5 linked regions of the Macaca mulatta genome follow. The protein of the gene in region 1 interacts with the protein of each later gene in a biochemical or structural test. Links are inferred from orthologs where the notes say so. Each region holds a gene or a part of one and is shown in the gene's direction. Other genes may lie near its edges.

Region 1 (3,500 bases):
GTTCGCCTTCAAAGAAACACACTTCTATCAGCGGACTTGGGTGCACACAGCCTCGGGTGTGAGGCTGGGTGCTGGGAGACTTCCTGAGCTGGGGCACACAGATGTCCTGGGTGGTACTCCAGATTATATGCTACTGTGTGACCGTCAGCATCCTAGAGAAGGGGCTGTGTGTTGGGATTTTAAAATTTTGCCCCAAAAGGTACAGTGTAAGGGTCCTAAGCTGATGGAGAAATTTAGGACTAAGCTAGAAGAGCACCCCATGGGAGCTACATCGAGGAGAAACTCAGAGCATCCCTCTCATACACAGTGACACTGGGCAGTTTGAAATACCTTTAAGCTCTACCCGGTTTGGCAGTGGAATTTAGTAGCCAGAACAGATGATAATGTTTTTCCCTTCCCCTATGATCACCTTAGCAGCAACCCTTTACATTTAAGACTACGGGGGTGTTAGAACCAAGTTCTGTAAGAATTTGGATCTGCAACTGTGTGGGGTTCATTCCACAGTAGATTTGAAGCTATTGGAAATCTATTGCTGTTTTCTAGACACTTGGAAGTATTTTCTATGTAAATAGAACTAATTAACTTTGTCTAGAGAAAATAATTATCTGGGTGTACATTATTTTATTAAACTGATCAGAAATCAAATGCAAGGTATTAAATAATAATGATTTCTTGCACAAACAGCCATCAGTGGCCTATGTACATACCACGCCGGGTCTGCCTTCAGGCTGGGAAGAAAGAAAAGATGCTAAGGGGCGCACATACTATGTCAATCATAACAATCGAACCACAACTTGGACTCGACCTATCATGCAGGTACGAAGATCGCCATCCAACTTAAAACCGCAGGCCATAGAAGCCGAAATGTACATGACCGACCTCCCTCCCTGGTGTTTATATATTGTTCTGAAAGAGTCATATTTGTAAAAAGCTGTCTCACAAAGAAAATGCATTACTTTAAATACAATAATAGCCTAAGGAAGAATTTGCTTTCCAAATCAGTTTATCACTGAATACATTTTTAAAATGTGAAGTGAAAGATATTTTCAAAGTAAGAGCCTATTACAGTGTGTAGCTTCTTCCCTGCCCCACCCCTCACCCCCTGCCTTTAATCTGAGGCTAGTTTTTATGCTGGGCTAGTGATTCATTTTTATTTCCCTTGAATGTGTTTCCCCATCCTTTCCCCCATCATTATGTTTAATTATTTCCTCCACGCTTTAAATAGGCCAGACCTCTTATTATTGCTGTTTGCGTTGTTGTTTGGGTTCGCGCTCCTAATCACACACACAGGGAGATCCTCCTATGAAGCTAACTTGTTTTTGCCTCCAAAATAGCTTGCAGAAGATGGTGCGTCTGGATCAGCCACAAACAGTAACAACCATCTAATCGAGCCTCAGATCCGCCGGCCTCGTAGCCTCAGCTCGCCAACAGTAACTTTATCTGCCCCGCTGGAGGTGAGACGGCTACCTCATCTAACTGGACTCACTCTGTCCTGTGACTCCCATTCTTTCTTCTCTCTTAACTCTGCCTTCAGTTTGGCAGCCACCTCCTCTCTCTGATCAGTCGTTGTGTTGGTGGTGAAGGGTGTTCTTGTGCAGCCTTTCTACCTGCTTCTCTGTCTCGCCCAGTTAACATTCCTGGACTCTCTCACCTGATTCTCATTCTCATTTGGCTAAGGCCGCAGTGACTTGTGCTGGACGTGGGCACTCTCTTTTCAGGACTTCCACCGTTCTTGTTGTGTTTCGCTTCTTTTTGCCTGTTACCTCATTAGAATTGCATAATCTGTCTTTCAAATACCAAGTGCTGATATTGAGTTTTTAAACATAGCTATTGCTTTGATCATTTTTTTTCTTTCGACTGTAGGGTCTTTCATTCTATGGGCATACATGTTTCTGATGCATATTTGCATATCTGCATCGTGGCTGGGCATCTGCTTGTGCTCCCTGTCGTGTTTGTATTGTTTTGGTGCCATCCTTTAACATCACAAATGTCAGAGTTAGAGAAGCCAAAGAGCAAAGGTTTGAGGTCCTAAGCTTGACTGTGTCTTAGAGACAACTGTAGGCTTCTCCATGCCCTGGTTCCAGATGCCAATAAGTGGGAATGGATGCTGTCTTTTCCACACACTGATATGAATGTCATGGGTAACAACTGTGAGATTCCAGATCATTGTCTTTATTGATGTAGGTTTTTCTCTTCTGTGCTCTAAAACTTGCCAATCTATTCTTCATTAGACTGTGAGCTCATTAAGAGCAAGGGCACGTTTTTCTCTACTCTGTAAAATCTCCATCCATAATGCTTAGTACAGAACAGTATTTTTGGTACATACTGAGTAGCTACCAAAGGATGGTGATTATAAGTACTTAATATTGTTGTGTGTTTATCCAACAGAGGAAATGTAAAGTTAGATTGATTTAAAAGTAAATGAATGACAGAAAACAGGTTTTGGGAATCTTCCCTCTTGTCCGCCTCCAAAGAGAAGCCTCCTACAATACCCAGGTACATTTTGGCACATTGGAATCGCAGCTGCTGAAGAGTTCTAATGCTAATTGTTATTCTTTAGGGTGCCAAGGACTCACCCGTACGTCGGGCTGTGAAAGACACCCTTTCTAACCCACAGTCCCCACAGCCATCACCTTACAACTCCCCCAAACCACAACACAAAGTCACACAGAGCTTCTTGCCACCCGGCTGGGAAATGAGGATAGCGCCAAACGGCCGGCCCTTCTTCATTGATCATAACACAAAGACCACAACCTGGGTAAGGCTGCTGCTTTTATTTGGCTCCGTTTTCATCGTGAAGTCTGGCATTAATTCCTTGATTTCCTTACTCAGTGTTTGTAGTTCTTGCAGAGGAATTAGATTGACTGTAAAGGGTGTTTCCAGAGGGTCTCCTCAGCCTGCATCTGGCCCCTGCACAAATGGGTGGGTGGGAGTGGGTGGGCATAGGCTGATAGCTGTCTTTGGTAGTGGTGCTGGGACTGCCTTTTCTCCTGGGAAACTCTAGTTTAGACAGTTCACCATGCTGGATGGAAAGGTACTGTTCTGTGCTGTTAAGATTTTGTTAATTGATCCCATCTTACAAAATAAGGAGTTATAATCATTTTCAAATAGGAGTTATAATCATTTTCAAATAATTTTTTCTTTTGTCAGTTTCTTTTTGCACTTTTATTGGCATTACCCACCTTCTTTTGATTTGTCACTTTAGTTTTTACTGTTCACATCAGATCAGTATTCACACGTCTGAGCTACATTTCCGTGCCCTTAATCATGGGATAGGGGATGTATGGAGTGACTTTGGTTGTAAATCTGATACTCCTTTTTGTGATCATTTTGTCAAAATTGATTTTTCTTACCATGCAACTGTTTCATGTACTCCTGAATTGTACCCAAGAAAGAATCTGTACATTGTATTATCTTGAGCAAAATGAGATTAATCAGAGGTGAATATGCATATCTTTGTATTTCTCTGTCAGTTCTTTATTTCTTGAGCTGAATCAGTG
Region 2 (4,180 bases), on another chromosome or scaffold:
AAATAGGAAGAGTTGATGAATGCTTTAAAAAGAACCACGAGGAAGGCTTACCTTTTCAGTTGTCAATCTCGCAAAGAGTTTTTGGGTTTTTTTGTATCTTGCTATTTTAACCAGTTGATTAGGCTCACCCAGTGGCAGTCTTCATTTCAAGGATGTCCTCTGGACATTCATGAAGGAAATAAAGTAAATGGGGCTCCAGATCCCTTTCCTTCCCTTCAGGGGGCTCCACTGTAAGATCATTTTGGGAAAATGTGGTGTTATCTTAAAAACATAGCTGGGCCACATCAAGCAGCACCATAGTTTTGAGGGTATAGAACGTTGGTCTTCAGGTTAAAAGGCACTTTTCACTGCTCTGTCATACTCTTCTACTTGCTAGAGAAATATGTTTTATGCCGTGTCATGTGTGGTTAACCAGACACTGAGATGCTATTAACAATGCTCCCAAGTGATTCCTTGCTGTTAAATCCATTGGAATTATTATTACCACAAAATAATCCTATCTGATTTCATTACTTTCTTCTAACGTCCTTCCAGTAACCTAGAACTCTAGAGACCTCTTCCTTTGAGAGCTGTCTGGAGAGTCTGTTGGATTTTTAAATCTCTTATTACCAAAAAGTGGAAAAAAATTTAAAAAGTAACCAAAGAGCTGGTGCCTGTAGTCTCAGCTACTCCAGAGGCTGAGGCAGGTGGATAGCTTGGGCTGAGGAGTTCGAGGCTGCAGTGAGCCATGATTGTGCCTGAGAACAGCCACTGCACTCGTCTGGGCAATATAGTGAGACCCCGTCTCTAATCATCCCACAGAAGAATTTCAGGGCAGTGGATAACTCTGTAGGATACTACAATGATGAATACCTGCCATTACACATTTGTCGTAACTCGAGGAGTATACAACAACCTGAGCGAACCCCAAGGTAACTATAGACTTTCAGTGATGATGATGTGTCAATTCGGGTTCATCAATTGTAACACATGTACCACTCTAGTGGGGGATGTTGATAATGGCGGGGTTGGGGGTGGGGTTATGCATGCGTAGGAGCAAAGTGTATACGGGATATCTCTGTAACTTCTCAATTTTGCTGTAAACTACAACTACTCTATATTAGTCTTTTAAAAATCCCTTATCTTACGAATGATTTTTGAATAAGCGTTTTAGCAATGTTCTAGAGATGAATCTCCTCCCCACGTCCTACGCTGGGTGAGTAATACGAGGAAGTGTCGGGTACCCGGGAGACCTGTCCTCAGGTGTTCTAGGAACGCGGCCCCATGCCTTTGTCAGCCTCTGTCTCTGTGTGGTGAGAAGGCGCACTGGCTCGTGCCTGCGCGAGACTCGCGCACATAGAAAAGACCAATCAAGGACGGGTCATTCCCGCCCCCCGCGCGCCTTCTGCGACCGCCCACTCGACAGGTTGACAACCTAGACAGCTCCCCCGGACTTGCCTTACTTTTCCATCTCCTCCCACCTAGCTACACCCTCCCACTGGCGGCGCGGATGGGACGCCGGCGGAGCCAGCGAGTCTGCGCGAGCGGCCCGAGCATGCTCAATAGTGCGCGCGGCGCCCCGGTGCTCCTCCGCGGAACCGCGACCAACGCGGAGGTCTCGGCGGCCGCTGCGGGAGGCACAGGAAGTGAAGAGCTTCCGCCGGGAGACCGCGGCGGCAGGAACGGAGGCGGAAGGGGCCCTGCGGCGACGACGTCGTCGACGGGGGTGGCCGAGGGAGCTGAGCACGGAGAGAACTCCCCCGCTCGGAAGCCGGATCCCGAGCCGGGCAGGATGGATCACCACCAGCCGGGGACGGGGCGCTACCAGGTGGTGAGTTCCCGGCCTCCTGTGCTTCCCGGGACTGCCTCCCGCCGGGGCGTCCCGAGAGTCCCTTTCCTCAGGTTATTCCCAGAGGAAACGCTGTGGCTTTTGTTTTGTTTTCTTTTGGATCTTCTGACTGGAGCTGCTTCACTCGCCTCTCCTGCGCACTCCTGCCTAGGACTGCTTCGAAACCCTTCCCTGTCGCCCCAAGTCTCCTCCTAGCTCCTCACCCGTACCCTTAGCCCCCTTTGAGACACCTCCCTCCGCACACCTTACAACTTGTATCTGTTTTAATTTCTCACTTTATCATTTTCTTATTCTCTGACTCAGTCACTTCTGAGACATTCTAGTCGATTGTCTACTGGAAGTGGGGCTGACTTCACATACCTGCCCGGAAGGTGATCGCCGTCATAAATGGGGTGGGTGGGTGGGTAGGTGGGTGAAGGTGTAAGTACTGTGTAGAGTGGGATTTGGCAAAAATGTGGGTTAGGAATTGTGGAACCGAAGAGAAAGACTAGCCATAGTGCTGATCTTGTCTGCTCGTTAACCTTGTGACTTTTGTCCTTTTCCATTATGTTAGTATTAAAAATGACTGTATTTTTTGTAATCCCCAGTTTTTTGTTTTTGTTTTTTTTTTGTTTGGCTAGAGGGGAAACAGAGGTAGTTTTAGTAGAACAAATTCTAATCTTGTTCGAAAAATTATTTTTCGTTAAATACAAGGTTTTCCAGCTTAACTGTGTAAACTTTGGTAACTGTATGTTGAAAAAAGTGAAATATGTTCCTCTATATTTTCAGTGTCAATTTTTAAATATATTTTTCTTTGTGTATTCTGGTGGTGACGTTGAAGATTCCTGTTGTAAACCTTAGTTAAAAATGGACTGAGCAATAGTTGACTGTGCTGTTGTGCTGTTGCAGCTAGGTAGCATGTCATTCTACAAACTTTCAGCCCATTTACTGAGGGAGACGAGATAAATAATACATAGCAGTGGTGGTGCAATTTATGGTTTATAAAATTTTACAAATTTAGGTATGTTAGCCCCAGGTTTCAACTTTCAAATCTATCTGCACATGTAAGACTTAGTTATAAGCCAAGACTTTCTATTAATAAGTACATTTTGGCAATATGAAGGACACTGTAAGATGAGATCCCAATGTATGTAATTTTGCATTTTTCTAAGATAAAAGCTCATGAGGCTTCTATTTTCAACTGGTTTGCATTCTTTAAAACCTACAAAAGGTCCGTGTTCCGAATTCTTTGAAAATGTAGCAGCTTTTCTCAACAACTTGGGAAATACTGTTTCTCCTAGTATGGAAAGCATTTTTCAAGTGTACACCCTTTTGATGGTTTGAAGGGCATTTCTAGGTTTGTAAATGTTAGCAAAAATAAAATGATACAAATATTGAATAATATCAGCAGTGGAACTTGTTTCATTTTTCTAATCTTCCTGTTAGATTAGAAACATCAACCATGTTCTCCTACACACGTCACTACTTAAAACACTGTTAATTTATGTAGCTCTCAGTTTTAAGATATTTGTTTTCCCTACAGCTCCTTTCAAAATAAATGGACATATTTTATTGCTGCCCCCTCCCCTCATTTTTTTCAAACTGATGATGTGTCCCACATAGACTTTGAATGTTCCTTGAGAGCAGAGGGCAAAAATCAGTTCTTCTAAAGATAATGCCTACCAGTCCCTCTAAAGATAATACTTTAAGTAGGTAGGACATCGATTTGTTTTCCTTGTAAGGCAACAGTGTTAGGGTTACACAACTTACATAGTCATTTAACCTATCCAGTATAACTCTTGGTTTTGTTTATAATGGCCTGATTAATAACATCTAAGTGTATGTCAGAGAAAAAGCTGAATTGACATTTTCAGTAGACTTTTTAAACTAGGGATCAGTATTCAGCTCTGGCTTATATGATGAACATAACTATTTTGTGGTTGCCTTTAGCTCAGTTTTTGGGAAAACTGGAATGTGTAATAAACTGGAGCAATAAACAGCTTGAGTTGTCGAATGTTAAGGGATGACTAAGTCAGGAGATAGGCAAGTATACTTAGGGGTGAGATGGTATACAATGTTAATTTTTCACTTATTTAAAGAATTTAAATACAACTTTTCATACTGGAAAGCTAGCAGTGATGCTCAGGGTCATCAGAACGACCTACTACCATTAGCCAGTGCACAAGCTTTATCTAGAAACTGCTTTTTCTGTGATCTTTCCTTTCATTGTTAAAAGCACCCAAAATTTATTAAGTAAAGCAGTTAACAGTTTAGAGCTACAAAAATTCTTGATTGTTACCCTTCTAATTTCAGAAAAAGCCAGGTATGGTACATAATTTTCTGGGAAATTCAGTTTTGTTCGTTAGTAAATGA
Region 3 (4,044 bases), on another chromosome or scaffold:
AGTACTGATGAACATGTGAGAACATATATCTTTTTGGTGGAATAATTTGTTTTCAGTTGCATATATAACCAGTAATGGGATTGCTGGGTCAAATGGTAGTTTTGTTGTAAGTTCTTTGAGAAATCTCCAAACTGTTTTCCACGATGGCTGAACTAATTTACATTCCCACTAACAGCATATAAATGTTACCTTTTCTCCTCAGCGTCACCAACATCTGTTGATGTTTTCACTTTTTTTTTTTTTCCTTTTTGAGACAGAGTCTTACTCTGTCGCCCAGGCTGGAGAGCAGTGACTCCAACTCAGCTCACTGCAACCTCCGCCTCCCGGGATTAAGCGGTTCTCCTGCCTCAGTCTCCTGAGTAGCTGGGATTACAGGCGCCCACCACCATGCCCAGGTAATTTTTGTATTTTTAGTAGAGATGGGATTTCACCATGTTGGCCAGTCTGGTCTCGAACTCCCAACCTCAGGTAATCTGCCCGCCTCAGCCTCCCAAAGCCCTAGGATTACAGGCGTGAGCCACTGTGCCCGGCCAAGAAGCCAAGTTTTAATGGGTACACAAGTGCCCAGGAATTGGAGAGTGGGGAGTGTGCGTTGACTATTAGTCAGAGACTGTCAATGGAAGGGAAGGAGTCAACGATGGGAGTGAGAGCTCTGAACTCGGTGTTCGAAGCGGGTAATTTATGGGAGGGGCATACCTATGAGCAGACGATGCACTCAGACACGGAAGATCTGTGCATTGGACAGAAGAGACACCTTTTTCCTCTGCAGTAAGAACCAAGGAGGTAAGTAAGGGGTCTGATAGATATGAGTTTGTGCATGTGTGCTGGGTGAGTAATTGAGATAATTCATATATTTGAGAAAAGACAGTGAAATATTTAAAGGTAAATATAATAAAACCAGCTGTGGCACCTATTGGATAAGGAATTACTAACTGATGATTTAGAAATTCCTTTATGTGCGTTAGGAGCTCATTTGTTATCCCCATTTTACAGATGCGCAGCCCCAGGTTCAGTAACTTGCTCTAAATGAGACTGTAGAGACTAACTCCAGCACCCGGCAGCTCTCACCTTAAGCTGCCTGGCTAAGGTCAGCAGCAAGTAACCTGGCAGCGTCTGGGGGCCTGCGGCCGAGGACAGGGCTGGAACTACACTTCCCAGTATGCCAGGCGGGGCGGGGCGCGGCGGGGAGGGCGCAGGCTCCTTCCCAGAAGCAAAAGCGGAAACAAAAGAGTCTCGCCGGCCTCCCCGCCCGCACACTCGCGCACACTCGCGCTCGGGCGCAGACGGAGCAGGGACCGGCGCCCGGAGCGAGCCAGGGAGCGGCGAACCGGGGACCCACCGCGCGGAGCCAGCTGAGCTGCCAGCGAGCCCAACTCGCGAAGACTCACGCCCCCGAGCCCCGCAGCCGACCCCTGCCGGCCGGTGTCCCCACCGCGATCCCTGATCCATGGCGCTGAAGCGGATTCAGAAAGTGAGTGCCGGGGCCGGGCCTGGGGCTGCGGGGCAGCAGGGCAGCGGCGCCTGCCCACGCTGACTCGGCCAGTGGTCCCGAGAGATATGCAGGGAAAGCACGGGATGGAAGGGTGGGCCGGGGTGCGGGCAGGGAGCTGGAGGCTCGGGCCCGGCCAGCGGGCACCGGACAGGTTAGGTGGGAGCGGGGGCAGATCCCAGGCGGCCGGGGGAGCTTGAAGGCTGGGGGCCCGTGGCGCGCTCGCGCCGGGGCCGCTCCCGGAGCCCCAGGGTAGAGAGCCTCCTCCGCGTCCAGACCGCCCCGAAATCTGTGCTTCACGGTCACGGCTGGGTTTTGCCCTCCATGAGGCTAGTTTTGACCCCTGTCATGCTGTGTTTTCTCCAGGCTGTTTCTTAAGCCTGTCTCTTTTATGTTCTTGCTTACCCGGGCTCCCCGGGAGGGCACGGAAGGTGGGGTGGGCCTGCAGCCTTTCTCCGCGGAGCTGTCGGGTTGGTTCTTTCTCCTCTGCGGTTGGCTCTTGCTCAGTTGCCCGAATGGGCTGGAAAGCCCATTTGCGGCCAAGAAGCCAAGAGAAGGCTCCTGCCCCTTCTATTTTGGTGCCTCTGCTGCTGCCACTTCAGGTCACATAGCTGTAGCGAAAACATAGTTGCTGATACACAACAAGATGACCTCCTGGCTGTGATTCACGGTGAGTCAAGCCAAACAGGTTTTTTTTGCCCCTCATGGTAAACTTAGATGTAAAGTTCGAGACACAACATAAACTGTCGCAAATAGATTGTTTTGATGCTTTGACACATGGGTATAAAATGAGGAAGAAATATGTATCTTCATCCAACAACTGTTCACCCATCTCAACCCTGTGTGTGGAATTGTCTTTTTTTCACAGTATTTATTGCCACCATTTCAGAAGCGAACATCCTTCAGAATTGATATTCGGGCATTTCTTTCTGTTCATTTTTATTTCTTGTTGGTCTGTGTACTGACCCAAGTTTTAGGTTTTACAGTTACAGTTCACACTGGGAACATTGAGAATGTGTTTGTTAAATAGGGAGTGCTTTTCACTAAGTTAAGCAACAATGGTCAGTGTATTTTGTAGTTGTTTCAGAAGAAATTAATGCCCACATTTTTATCTACTTTTTTGACCAGTAGTCCATTATAGCAATAGTAAATGTTAGAGCAGTGATAGTGACGTACACATTGTATTCTGACTAGCCACTAGTGGCATCTTTAGGTACAGAGGACAGCAACTTTTAGAGCCTGCCAGTTTTTTATTTTCAAATTCTAAATCTGTTGATCACCTGTTATTTTTTGTCCCATTTAAAGGTCGTCTCATTGTAAAACATACAGTTAACAATCAGCATCAGCATTTATTAAGTTATAATGTTTTCTTGTTTGAAGATAGTTCAGTTACACGTTGTTTTATATAAATATCCTAATTTTGAAGCCTCAGTCGGCCTCTTTACCATAACTTGCATACTTATTAATGACGACGTAATATTGGTTCACATTTGGATCAGAAAATGCACATCTTCCAAGGAAGTTTTCAAATTCTATTTCCTTCTTTCCTAGTTGTGAGAATTTTTCACATGATTTTGCACATACAAGAGCTTTTTAAATTATCACTGTGTTTTTTTAAGAGATGGGGATCTCAGTATGTTGCCCATGCTGGTCTTGAACTCCTGTCCTCCAGAGAGTCTGGGATTACAGGCACAAGTCACCATACCCAACTATAACAATAGCGTTTAAATGCTGTGCAATTTGTCCACAGTAAGTGGATATTCAAAGAAATATGAACATTGTTTGTAAATACCATACTTGGCAGTTCTCGTCAATCACCATGCTGAACTGGTGTATTTGATTTGTATTTATAATGTGTGTGTCCAAATCTTTTCTTTTTAGTATTTATTGGTTATTAGTTTATAGAGTTGTTCAGAAAAAAAAAATTACTTACATGGAATTGATATCAAACATGTGACAAATCGATATTTTGGAGAAGAAATTGGGATCATATACCATCACATCTCTGTGCGTTCATCTTTGGCTTCCCTTTCTGATATCAGGCAAGTTAACTTACACAAGTCTTTCCATTAATCACACATTCAGACCGTTTCCTCAAACCTTAGGGGTGATTATTTTGATTGATTCCCTATTTTTCCTCCTCCTTTATCTACCTCCTTGATTAGAAGCCAATTCTAGGTCAGTTGTGCCGCCTGCCATATGAACAGTTATACCATCTTCTTCTTTGATGTCATCAGTATAGACATTCTTATTTGAATCTTTCATGTTCCAACAAATGAAGATGTATACTAACTTTTGGCCTTTCTTCCTAAGCTCCTATTGAAGTGTTACTATAGTTTTCCTGTACCTAAAGTTGCAGACTGTAGAGCTGTGTGGAACCTCAGATAAGTCTGCCGTAGTGTACTAGAGGGTACCAGCACGGGAACAGCTTCTAGGGTAGTGTCTTAGAATCACCTGAGGGACGTTTTCAGACTGTCGTCACTTCTATAAATGGAGAGGTGTTGAATCCCTCAGATGGGTTGGGGTGGAAAGAAGACTGAGAACCACTGATGTTC
Region 4 (4,158 bases), on another chromosome or scaffold:
TGGACAGCCTGAGCACAATTTGCTCTCTCAACAGGAGAAGGAACCAGGTGGGAGCAGGGCTAGGCTGAGCTAGGCTAGTTGAATGGTGGGACATGACGTATGGGTGGCATTGGCAATAACAAAGTCATATTTTATGACGATTCCGTGCAAAAGGAAGCAGACATAGGCCAGTTACTGTGATTTGAAATTGCCTAAACATTGCTTTAGGTTGGCATGTCAATTTCAGGTACTAGTAAGTGCTTTTTTTAATTTTATTTTATTTTTATTTTTTGAGACGAGTCTCGCTCTGTTGCCAGGCTGGAGTGCAGTAGCATGATCTCGGCTCACAGCAACCTCCGCCTCCCGGGTTCAAGCGATTCTCCTGCCTCAGCATCCCGAGTAGCTAGGACTATAGGCGCACACCACCACGCCTGGCTAATTTTTTCTATTTTTAGTAGACACGGGGTTTCTCCATGTTAGCCAGGATGGTCTCGATTTCTTGGCCTCGTCATCCACCTGCCTCGGCCTCCCAAAGTGCTGGGATTACAGGTGTGAGCCACTGCGCCCGTCCCCAGTAAGTGCTTTTTTTTAAGTGTGGGCATTAAGAAAACGTTCCCAGCCAGACTCCAGGAAAGAGAATGTGTTTCTCTTCTCTCGGTTTGGGACTGTTGCAACAAAGCAAACCAAGAAGCAGTTGAGACTAGAGATCACTTTAGGGCAAGTGGGGGTGGTTTTGCCTGCAAAACAAACCCCTGCCCAAGACCAAGGAAAAGGCGTTTCACATGCTATTCCTGGTTTGACAGCTGGTATTTCGGGACTGTGCCAGATCTAGTAGGCAACTTTAAAATGGCAGAGCCCTTGGCAGCAAGAGGTCATGGCAGGGCAGCCACCGCAGACAGCAACAGCAAGCGCCAGGTACCTGGCCTTGCGAATAGTGGTAACTTGTAACTGCCTGCTCTGGGCCCAATCGCTGCGCTCGCGGCTTCCCAGCCAGCACTGGCTCACGTCCCCGCGCCGGCGGTCAGCCTGCGGCTCCCAGACATCCCCCAGTCGCGGGGTTACTGGAAGGCACCGGCATCGCTGCTCTGCAGAGCCCGGGCCGCCGCCTCCAGCTTCCCTCCCTTCCCTGCCCTGCCTTCTGCAGCAGGGTCACCCGGCTAATCTTTCAGGATAAAGTCACAGTTTCTGTGGGACTCGAGAGAAAGAGCGAGGTGGCAAAACGAAGACAAGCCCTGGGGCAGCCTTGAGTTAAATCCAGGGAGGAGTAGGGATGATTTTAAGATCATGTATCGTGACCTGCAGGGTTTTCAGGTGGGAGAGCTGGAGAGAAGCAGGCCCCATAGAGGAATCGAGGATGCCCGGGTCACGCCAGGTCGGTCTCCGGGCAAAGCTACCCCCTCCTTTCGCTTGTTACCTCCTCACGTGTTCTTGGCATGGCAGAGATTAAAAATGCAAGGAAAAAAATTACATGCGGAACGGACAAAATGTTCTCAGAGATTACTTCAGAAAAAAAAAAGTGAAATGCAGATTGTACTTTTTCCTTTAGAGCAGAGACGACTTTTATTTCCGCCCCCTCCCCTCCACATTCCTGACCTCTCCCTCCCCCCCTTCCCTCTTTCTTTCCTTCCTTCCTCCTCTTCCAAGTTCTGGGATTTTTCAGCCTTGCTTGGTTTTGGCCAAAAGCACAAAAAAGGCGTTTTCGGAAGCGACCCGACCGTGCACAAGGGCCATTTGTTTGTTTTGGGACTCGGGGCAGGAAATCTTGCCCGGCCTGAGTCACGGCGGCTCCTTCAAGGAAACGTCAGTGCTCGCCGGTCGCTCTCGCCTGCCGTGCGCCCCGCCGCCCGCTGCCCGCTGCCCATGAGGGAGATGCAGGGCGCGCTGGCCAGGGCCCGGCTCGAGTCCCTGCTGCGGCCCCGCCACAAAAAGAGGGCCGAGGCGCAGAAAAGGAGCGAGTCCTTCCTGCTGAGCGGACTGGGTAAGCGCGGTCGCCGGCCCCTCTGGGGACTTGGCTCACTTCCCCAGAGCGGCTCGGCTCCTGCCCCGCTCGCGGGCTCGTCCGCAGGGGCAGGCTTTCGTCGGAGTTCTGGGAGCCGGGGTCCCGGCGGCGGGAACGGGAGGACCTGGCAGGCAAGGTCGCGCGCTTCGCCCTGCGCCCCAGAGATAAACCCCAGAGGGTGGCGCGCACCGCCGGCTTGGGCTGGGGAGGGAGGTGGGGGTCCGGCCGCAGGACGGCGCCAGGCCGGGGAAAGGGAATCTGCAGGGAGGGAGTGAGCGAAGCCACCGTGGCCGCCGCGCACCCGCCGGGAAGCGCCTCGGCGCTGCGACCCCGGCTTTCTCGGGCGGCGGAATAAATGAGAGGTGGAAAACTACCCTGGGCTCTCCGGCCCTCCCCGCGCCCTCCGCTGGCGCGTTCCCTCTCTCTTCTGCCTCGGGGGCCGATGGAGGCTGATAACGGCCCCGCGCCAGGCCCTCCCCGGACGGTCCTCGCGCCCCTGCCCGGGGCTCGCCCTCTCAATGGGGACAGAACCGCCCGCCACAGGCAGCACCGCTGCCAGCAAACCGCGAGGCGGTCCGGGCGGAGGGAGGGGCGAGGCGAAGGGCGGGGCCGCTTCTCATTGTCGCTCAGGCCCCGCCCCCGCGGCGGGGCCTCGCCTATAAGGCCGAGCGCGCGGCCCGGCGCAGCACACACCGAGCCGGTCTCCGAGCGCTAACGTCTTCCTGTCTCCCCGCGGTGGTGATGACGGTGAAAACCGAGGCAGCTAAGGGCACCCTCACTTACTCCAGGATGAGGGGCATGGTGGCAATTCTCATCGGTGAGTGCAGGAATCTGGCGGGACTTATGCTCCAGGAGACTCAAAGTGGAAATTTTTTGAAAGTCCGGCATCAGATTAGTGTATGTGGCTCCGGACGTTATGAAGCCGTCTAAACGTTTCTTTATTTCTCCTCCTTAATCCACAGCTTTCATGAAGCAAAGGAGGATGGGCCTGAACGACTTTATTCAGAAGATTGCCAATAACTCCTATGCATGCAAACAGTAAGTTTGACGGGATTTGAGGAAATAAGAATAACTAGTCTGGTTTGAATTTGCCAGCAGTAAACATTCTCATCACGGCGTTTATCGGGAAGGCGAAGACTTCTTCTGGGGTGGGAATCTCTTTTCTCCTTAAATTTTAATATATTAGACACATTTTAAACATTAAAGTTAATTTGCTGTTTTGGCTTGAACTGGAGATGTAAGATAAATGGTTCGTGTTGGCCGAATTCACTCCCTTTCTCCATGAGCAACAATCCTTATTTCTGTATTTAACGGGGTTTATTATTTTCTTTAACTGAGTAATATATTGGGGTATTTTCAGTTTAAACACCGAATTATCCGGGTAGAAGACGGTAGAGCCAGAAACCGACTTTTGATGTTGGTATGCCCCCTAGTGGCGAGCTGGATTCTGAATCGTGCCCTTTATTCCCTGCAGCCCTGAAGTTCAGTCCATCTTGAAAATCTCCCAACCTCAGGAGCCTGAGCTTATGAATGCCAACCCTTCTCCTCCAGTAAGTATTTTCTATGTGCAGTGCCTCTGTGGAGAACTGTAAGGGAGTCAGTTAGTATTCCTGCCTTAATGGTTTAAAATAGCATTTCTAGAATTTAGTATCAAAGCAGGAATGCTTCATTACTTTATGGCATAACAAGTGATAACAAATATTTAAGTATTCAGTCAGTATTATTTTATTTTTTCGTGGGCGTATTTTACCTCCAAAGTGGATTATTTTAAAAGGCATATTTCATTAAAAAGTTTTATCTGTCCGAAACAACATGATTGTGTGCAGTTTCCATACTCATTTGAAATGACTTGTGATGAAATGTAGTTTTGAATGTTTATAGACAGATGTATGGTCATTTGCCTCAGTCATTTGTAGATGTAACATCTTCTACATCGTTTATATTATAACTGTCTTCCTTTGAAGCAATGATATTAAGAGAAATCCTTTTCTTTTTTTCCTAGCCAAGTCCTTCTCAGCAAATCAACCTTGGCCCATCGTCCAATCCTCATGCTAAACCATCTGACTTTCACTTCTTGAAAGTGATTGGGAAGGGCAGTTTTGGAAAGGTAATTTCGAATCTGAAGATCTTTTGGTACACTTTCTTCATGTCCTCATTTTACATTCTCCCTGGATAAGGAT
Region 5 (3,992 bases), on another chromosome or scaffold:
TTTCAAAGCATCCGAAGGACGGTCTCTTTTGGCAGCGACAGTTGCAAGCTGTGAGCCAAAAATAAATAGAGGTTGGTCCCCTAATCAACAAATATATTCTACTCTCTTCAATGCCCAGGACCCCACCTTGTCCCTTCCTCCAGCTTACACGAGGGGCAAGTGGCAGCTCTTCTCCGCCTGCGTGCCTGGCCTCGCCAACAACACCCATTAGTCTCCCGTCTCCCGGGGCGGCGGGGGACTCCCAACCACGCGCCCAGGGCCCTTTCCCAGGTACTGGGGCCCCGGGAGCCACGACGTCCCCCACGCAGGCGAACGGGATGGAACTAGCCCTGGGGACGCGGGTAGCCCAATGGGCAGCCTCCGCCCGGAGGCGGGCCCAGGCCGGAAGCCACCCCGCGGCACAGCGGCCCCACGATACGGTGCCCGCGCCCCCGCCTTCTCTGGCACAGGCTCCGCGGCCAAGGGCGGCAGGGGCCAGCCCGCCAGGTCCCCGCCGCGCTCTTTGTCCTGGCCGCGCGCGGGCGGACGCGTGCACCCCCCGGGTGAGGGGAGGTGCGGGGAGCGCGCGCGGGAGCGCGCGGGAACAGCTCGCGCCCGCCGGGCGCCGGCGGCGCGCGCCCCTCCGCCAGGCAAGCAGCGAGCACGCGCGCCGCCGCCGCGCCCGCCCCTCCCCCCGCGTTCGCCTCGGAACTTGCTGACTGCGCGGCCGGGAGGAGCCGAGCCGGGCGGCGGCGGCGGGAGGCCACAGCGCGCGGGGGTCTCCCGCGTCCCCTCCGCCTCGCCGGGAGCTCGCGCCCTCGCCCAGCCGAGCTCCCACCCCCCCTTTTTTCCGAAGGCGCTGGGCGGCGCCACCCTCCGGCCGGAGCCCGGCACTGCACAACCCCCTCCGACTTTCAATGTTCCACACTCCCCGGCCAGAGCCTCCTCGGCTTCTTTTTTTCCCTCCCCCCCCTTCCCCCCCCCACAGCTGCCTCCATTTCCTTAAGGAAGGGTTTTTTTCTCTCTCCCTCCCCCACACCGTAGCGGCGCGCGAGCGGGCCGGGCGGGCGGCCGAGGTAAGGCGGAGGGGCCGGGGGGCCGCGTGGGGGGCGGCCGGGGCGGCGGCGGCTGCGGTGGGGGAGGGGGCGGGGGCGGGCAGCTTTGTTCGCGCCGGGCGCCCGCGCCGCCGGTGTCCGCGAGCCGCGGCGGGGCCGGCCGGGCTGCTCGCATCACTTGGCGCCCGGCGCGGCGAGCGCTGCCCGCGGCCCCCGCGCGGCCCTCCCCACAAAGGGCCGCGGAGCTGCGTGGCCGCCGCCGCCGGCCGCGGCTCGCCTCCGCGGGCGCGGAAATTTGTTGCACTTCTTGGGGCTTTGTTTGTTTGTTTGTTTTTCCTCTGGGTTTCTTATTTTTTTCGTTATTTTGGACAAAATGTCGGTCCGTGATGTAAAAATTGAGCGAGGAACCTTGGTGGCATTGGGAGCTTTGCAGAAGGTGCAGTTTGAATTCTGCTTTTCCCAGGGTGGCAGCTAGGTCTTGGCCAGATGAATCTTCGCTGCTGGCGGTGGAAACAGCTAGAGGAGCTCGTTAGTTGATTTTTAAATTTCCAAGTGTTGTGTTTAAAGCCTTTACGTGCACTGAGAAGGAATCGCCACCTTAAATAAGCATATGGGCGATTAACAGGGTGTGTTTTCCTCTCGGAAAGGGAATTTGGTAGCTTTGACCAATGTCAGTGTGTAAATATTTAGACGTTATTAGTGACTTTTAAACATTTTTTCAGCGAGATCTGTTATTTACAGTATGTCATATGTTATTAATGCTTGTTGCCTAAGTTCCTTGGCAAATCTGTTTCATGCCTTCTGAGAAAGTAGACAATTGATAGATTGTCCAAGAGATGGAAAAAAATGTGAGTGGGTTTTCTAACTTGAGTTCGGCAAATCCCTGAACGCTGGCGTTGTGTGACACATCACCTCCCTTGTAACCCTTGTTGTATGATGAAATAAGTGTGAACACTTTTGAAGCTTTTTCATTACAATACGATATTAGATGAATAGAAGAAAATGCTGTTGGTTTATTTCCTAGATTTAACATTTTCTCCCCATCCTCCCCTGTTCTCTTTAAAAGTTTTCCAAGAGATAACTTCACCAAGATGTCCAGTGATAGGCAAAGGTCCGATGATGAGAGCCCCAGCACCAGCAGTGGCAGTTCAGATGCGGACCAGCGAGACCCAGCCGCTCCAGAGCCTGAAGAACAAGAGGAAAGAAAACCTTCTGCCGCCCAGCAGAAGAAAAACACCAAACTCTCTAGCAAAACCACTGCTAAGTTATCCACTAGTGCTAAAAGGTAATGTGTAAAAGAAGGATCCAGCACACTTTGTCAGGTTGTCTTCCAGGTGGTTGGACGCTTTTGTTGGTTTTACATCAGTAGCAATAGTTCAGAAATATTTACTTCATTATCAGTTTATTTGTACTTGAATGAGTTGTCATTCTTTAGGTGGTATGTATGCAACCTTGCTAGAATTATGCTTTTAAGCAAACTTATTCTGTACTTCGGTAACTTCAGTTGAGTATCCTTGAGTAGAGATTAGACTAACATTCTGACAGATTGTTTAAGGAGTTGGCAAGGAAAATTTGGTGAACCCAAATTAGATGGTACTTTGGGGATGTTTCCTTTTATGAGTCATAATCTTCTTTAATGAAATTGACACTTCCAGAGATTAGCAGGGCCTCTCTTCATGAAACTTAATGATCAGAAATGATCATATTTGCTAGAAAATTGCAAATTCAGGCCTTTGCTATGTTTGAAAGCAGATTTAAAATCGTGCTGCAAATCTGCTTACAGTTTTACAAAACATGACTTTAAATCATGTATCACAGGTAACTTTCGTGGTTAAATTATGATTATCCCTCCCTGTGCTTGTGAGGGCAAATCAAACTGAAAAGTAGCCCTTTACAATTTGAGGTGTCACTGGTGATAGAAAACTTTCATTGTCCTTGGACCTCTTCACTCTGAAACTTGTGGATGTGCTTGACAAGTTAATACTCAACAGCAGGAGAAACATATTTAATTGGATGTAAGTGGAAGATCATTTGTTTCCTATTGATTTATATTTTCTGATAGAGAAGAAAAGATTCTGTCAATGAGACTCTGTCAGTGGTAGTAGTAGTGGAACATCCACAAACTCTAGTAATTATACATAAAATGTATAATCTCTACAGCGTTAGCCAATGTTGACATTTTGTTAATTTTTATTGATCACAACTAAAGGAAAAAATATTTCTACAAATACTGCATTCTGTGGTGATTCATAAATACTCATATTTTTCTATGGATTTTCACCTTTATTGTCTCAGTAATGATGTATTAATAACTTGAGAATATTTTTGAATGGCAGCAGTCTTTGACATAATATAAAATCCTTCTCAATTTGGTATAGTGTTGATGCAGAACATATTAGACACGTCTAAAGTTTTGAAAGCATCTTAAATTTGAATCAAATCAGAGAACTGCTTTTCTCCCCCTTAACTCAGGCCTATGTATTTTCTCTTTCTGTCAATATTTACTAAATTTAAGTGCTGTGCCTATGATCAGGGAAAACAGAAATGGGTAAATTAGAATGTCATGTAGTCTTCGAAAGTTTTTCACCAGTAAAGATATTTGTAAATTTTAAACTTTTTTTTTGACAGATAAAATATTGTCAGAACTGTTAATGTGCTGTTGCAGTAGCCTGTTAATTTTTACCTCAGTAAAAGTCACTCGAAGTCCTTGTCAAATATTCCAGTGCTTTCCCTCCTCCCTTTTTGTCTCATTTGCATATAAGCTTGAAAAGAGAATTTCTTTGGTAAAAAGTGTTTTGAAATAGATATTATATTCTTTACTGAGTACTAGTGGATGAGTATTTTTCAAATCAAGTGTAAATGACTTACTTATTTGCAGCAGCAAGTGAGAAAAAAAGCTGCAAAGTTTCTGTTAAGGGATTTGGGTTATGCCTCTGAGAACAAAGAGGAAGCAGCCAT

What was found. The genes of interacting proteins can lie anywhere in the genome.
Region 2: of the proteins of NEDD4L (region 1) and NDFIP2, one has a biochemical effect on the other in vitro, tested with the Homo sapiens proteins (2 studies listed by BioGRID, with this or other methods). The link is inferred for Macaca mulatta from reciprocal best matches to the Homo sapiens genes NEDD4L and NDFIP2.
Region 3: the proteins of NEDD4L (region 1) and UBE2D1 form a complex in vitro, tested with the Homo sapiens proteins (7 studies listed by BioGRID). The link is inferred for Macaca mulatta from reciprocal best matches to the Homo sapiens genes NEDD4L and UBE2D1.
Region 4: of the proteins of NEDD4L (region 1) and SGK1, one has a biochemical effect on the other in vitro, tested with the Homo sapiens proteins (5 studies listed by BioGRID). The link is inferred for Macaca mulatta from reciprocal best matches to the Homo sapiens genes NEDD4L and SGK1.
Region 5: the proteins of NEDD4L (region 1) and UBE2E3 form a complex in vitro, tested with the Homo sapiens proteins (3 studies listed by BioGRID). The link is inferred for Macaca mulatta from reciprocal best matches to the Homo sapiens genes NEDD4L and UBE2E3.

The regions. Positions count from the first base shown.
Region 1 is NC_133423.1:22,653,015-22,656,514, reverse strand, and holds part of NEDD4L (E3 ubiquitin-protein ligase NEDD4-like), read left to right. Parts: intron 1-684; coding exon 685-816; intron 817-1,334; coding exon 1,335-1,454; intron 1,455-2,560; coding exon 2,561-2,758; intron 2,759-3,500. UniProt on the Homo sapiens protein: E3 ubiquitin-protein ligase that mediates the polyubiquitination of lysine and cysteine residues on target proteins and is thereby implicated in the regulation of various signaling pathways including autophagy, innate immunity or DNA repair.
Region 2 is NC_133422.1:74,318,458-74,322,637, forward strand, and holds the start of NDFIP2 (NEDD4 family-interacting protein 2), read left to right. Parts: upstream 1-1,380; 5' UTR 1,381-1,489; coding exon 1,490-1,810; intron 1,811-4,180. UniProt on the Homo sapiens protein: Activates HECT domain-containing E3 ubiquitin-protein ligases, including ITCH, NEDD4, NEDD4L, SMURF2, WWP1 and WWP2, and consequently modulates the stability of their targets. As a result, may control many cellular processes.
Region 3 is NC_133414.1:91,527,783-91,531,826, reverse strand, and holds the start of UBE2D1 (ubiquitin-conjugating enzyme E2 D1), read left to right. Parts: upstream 1-1,244; 5' UTR 1,245-1,447; coding exon 1,448-1,471; intron 1,472-4,044.
Region 4 is NC_133409.1:39,239,250-39,243,407, reverse strand, and holds the start of SGK1 (serine/threonine-protein kinase Sgk1), read left to right. Parts: upstream 1-1,358; 5' UTR 1,359-1,428; coding exon 1,429-1,957; intron 1,958-2,665; exon of another isoform or gene 2,666-2,719; coding exon of another isoform or gene 2,720-2,795; intron 2,796-2,940; coding exon 2,941-3,016; intron 3,017-3,452; coding exon 3,453-3,528; intron 3,529-3,980; coding exon 3,981-4,085; intron 4,086-4,158. UniProt on the Homo sapiens protein: Serine/threonine-protein kinase which is involved in the regulation of a wide variety of ion channels, membrane transporters, cellular enzymes, transcription factors, neuronal excitability, cell growth, proliferation, survival, migration and apoptosis.
Region 5 is NC_133417.1:85,866,748-85,870,739, forward strand, and holds the start of UBE2E3 (ubiquitin-conjugating enzyme E2 E3), read left to right. Parts: upstream 1-1,470; intron 1,471-1,900; coding exon of another isoform or gene 1,901-1,943; intron 1,944-2,100; 5' UTR 2,101-2,125; coding exon 2,126-2,319; intron 2,320-3,992. Other genes in the region: uncharacterized protein LOC144333280, read right to left, coding at 149-1,380, 1,901-1,943. UniProt on the Homo sapiens protein: Accepts ubiquitin from the E1 complex and catalyzes its covalent attachment to other proteins. In vitro catalyzes 'Lys-11'- and 'Lys-48'-, as well as 'Lys-63'-linked polyubiquitination.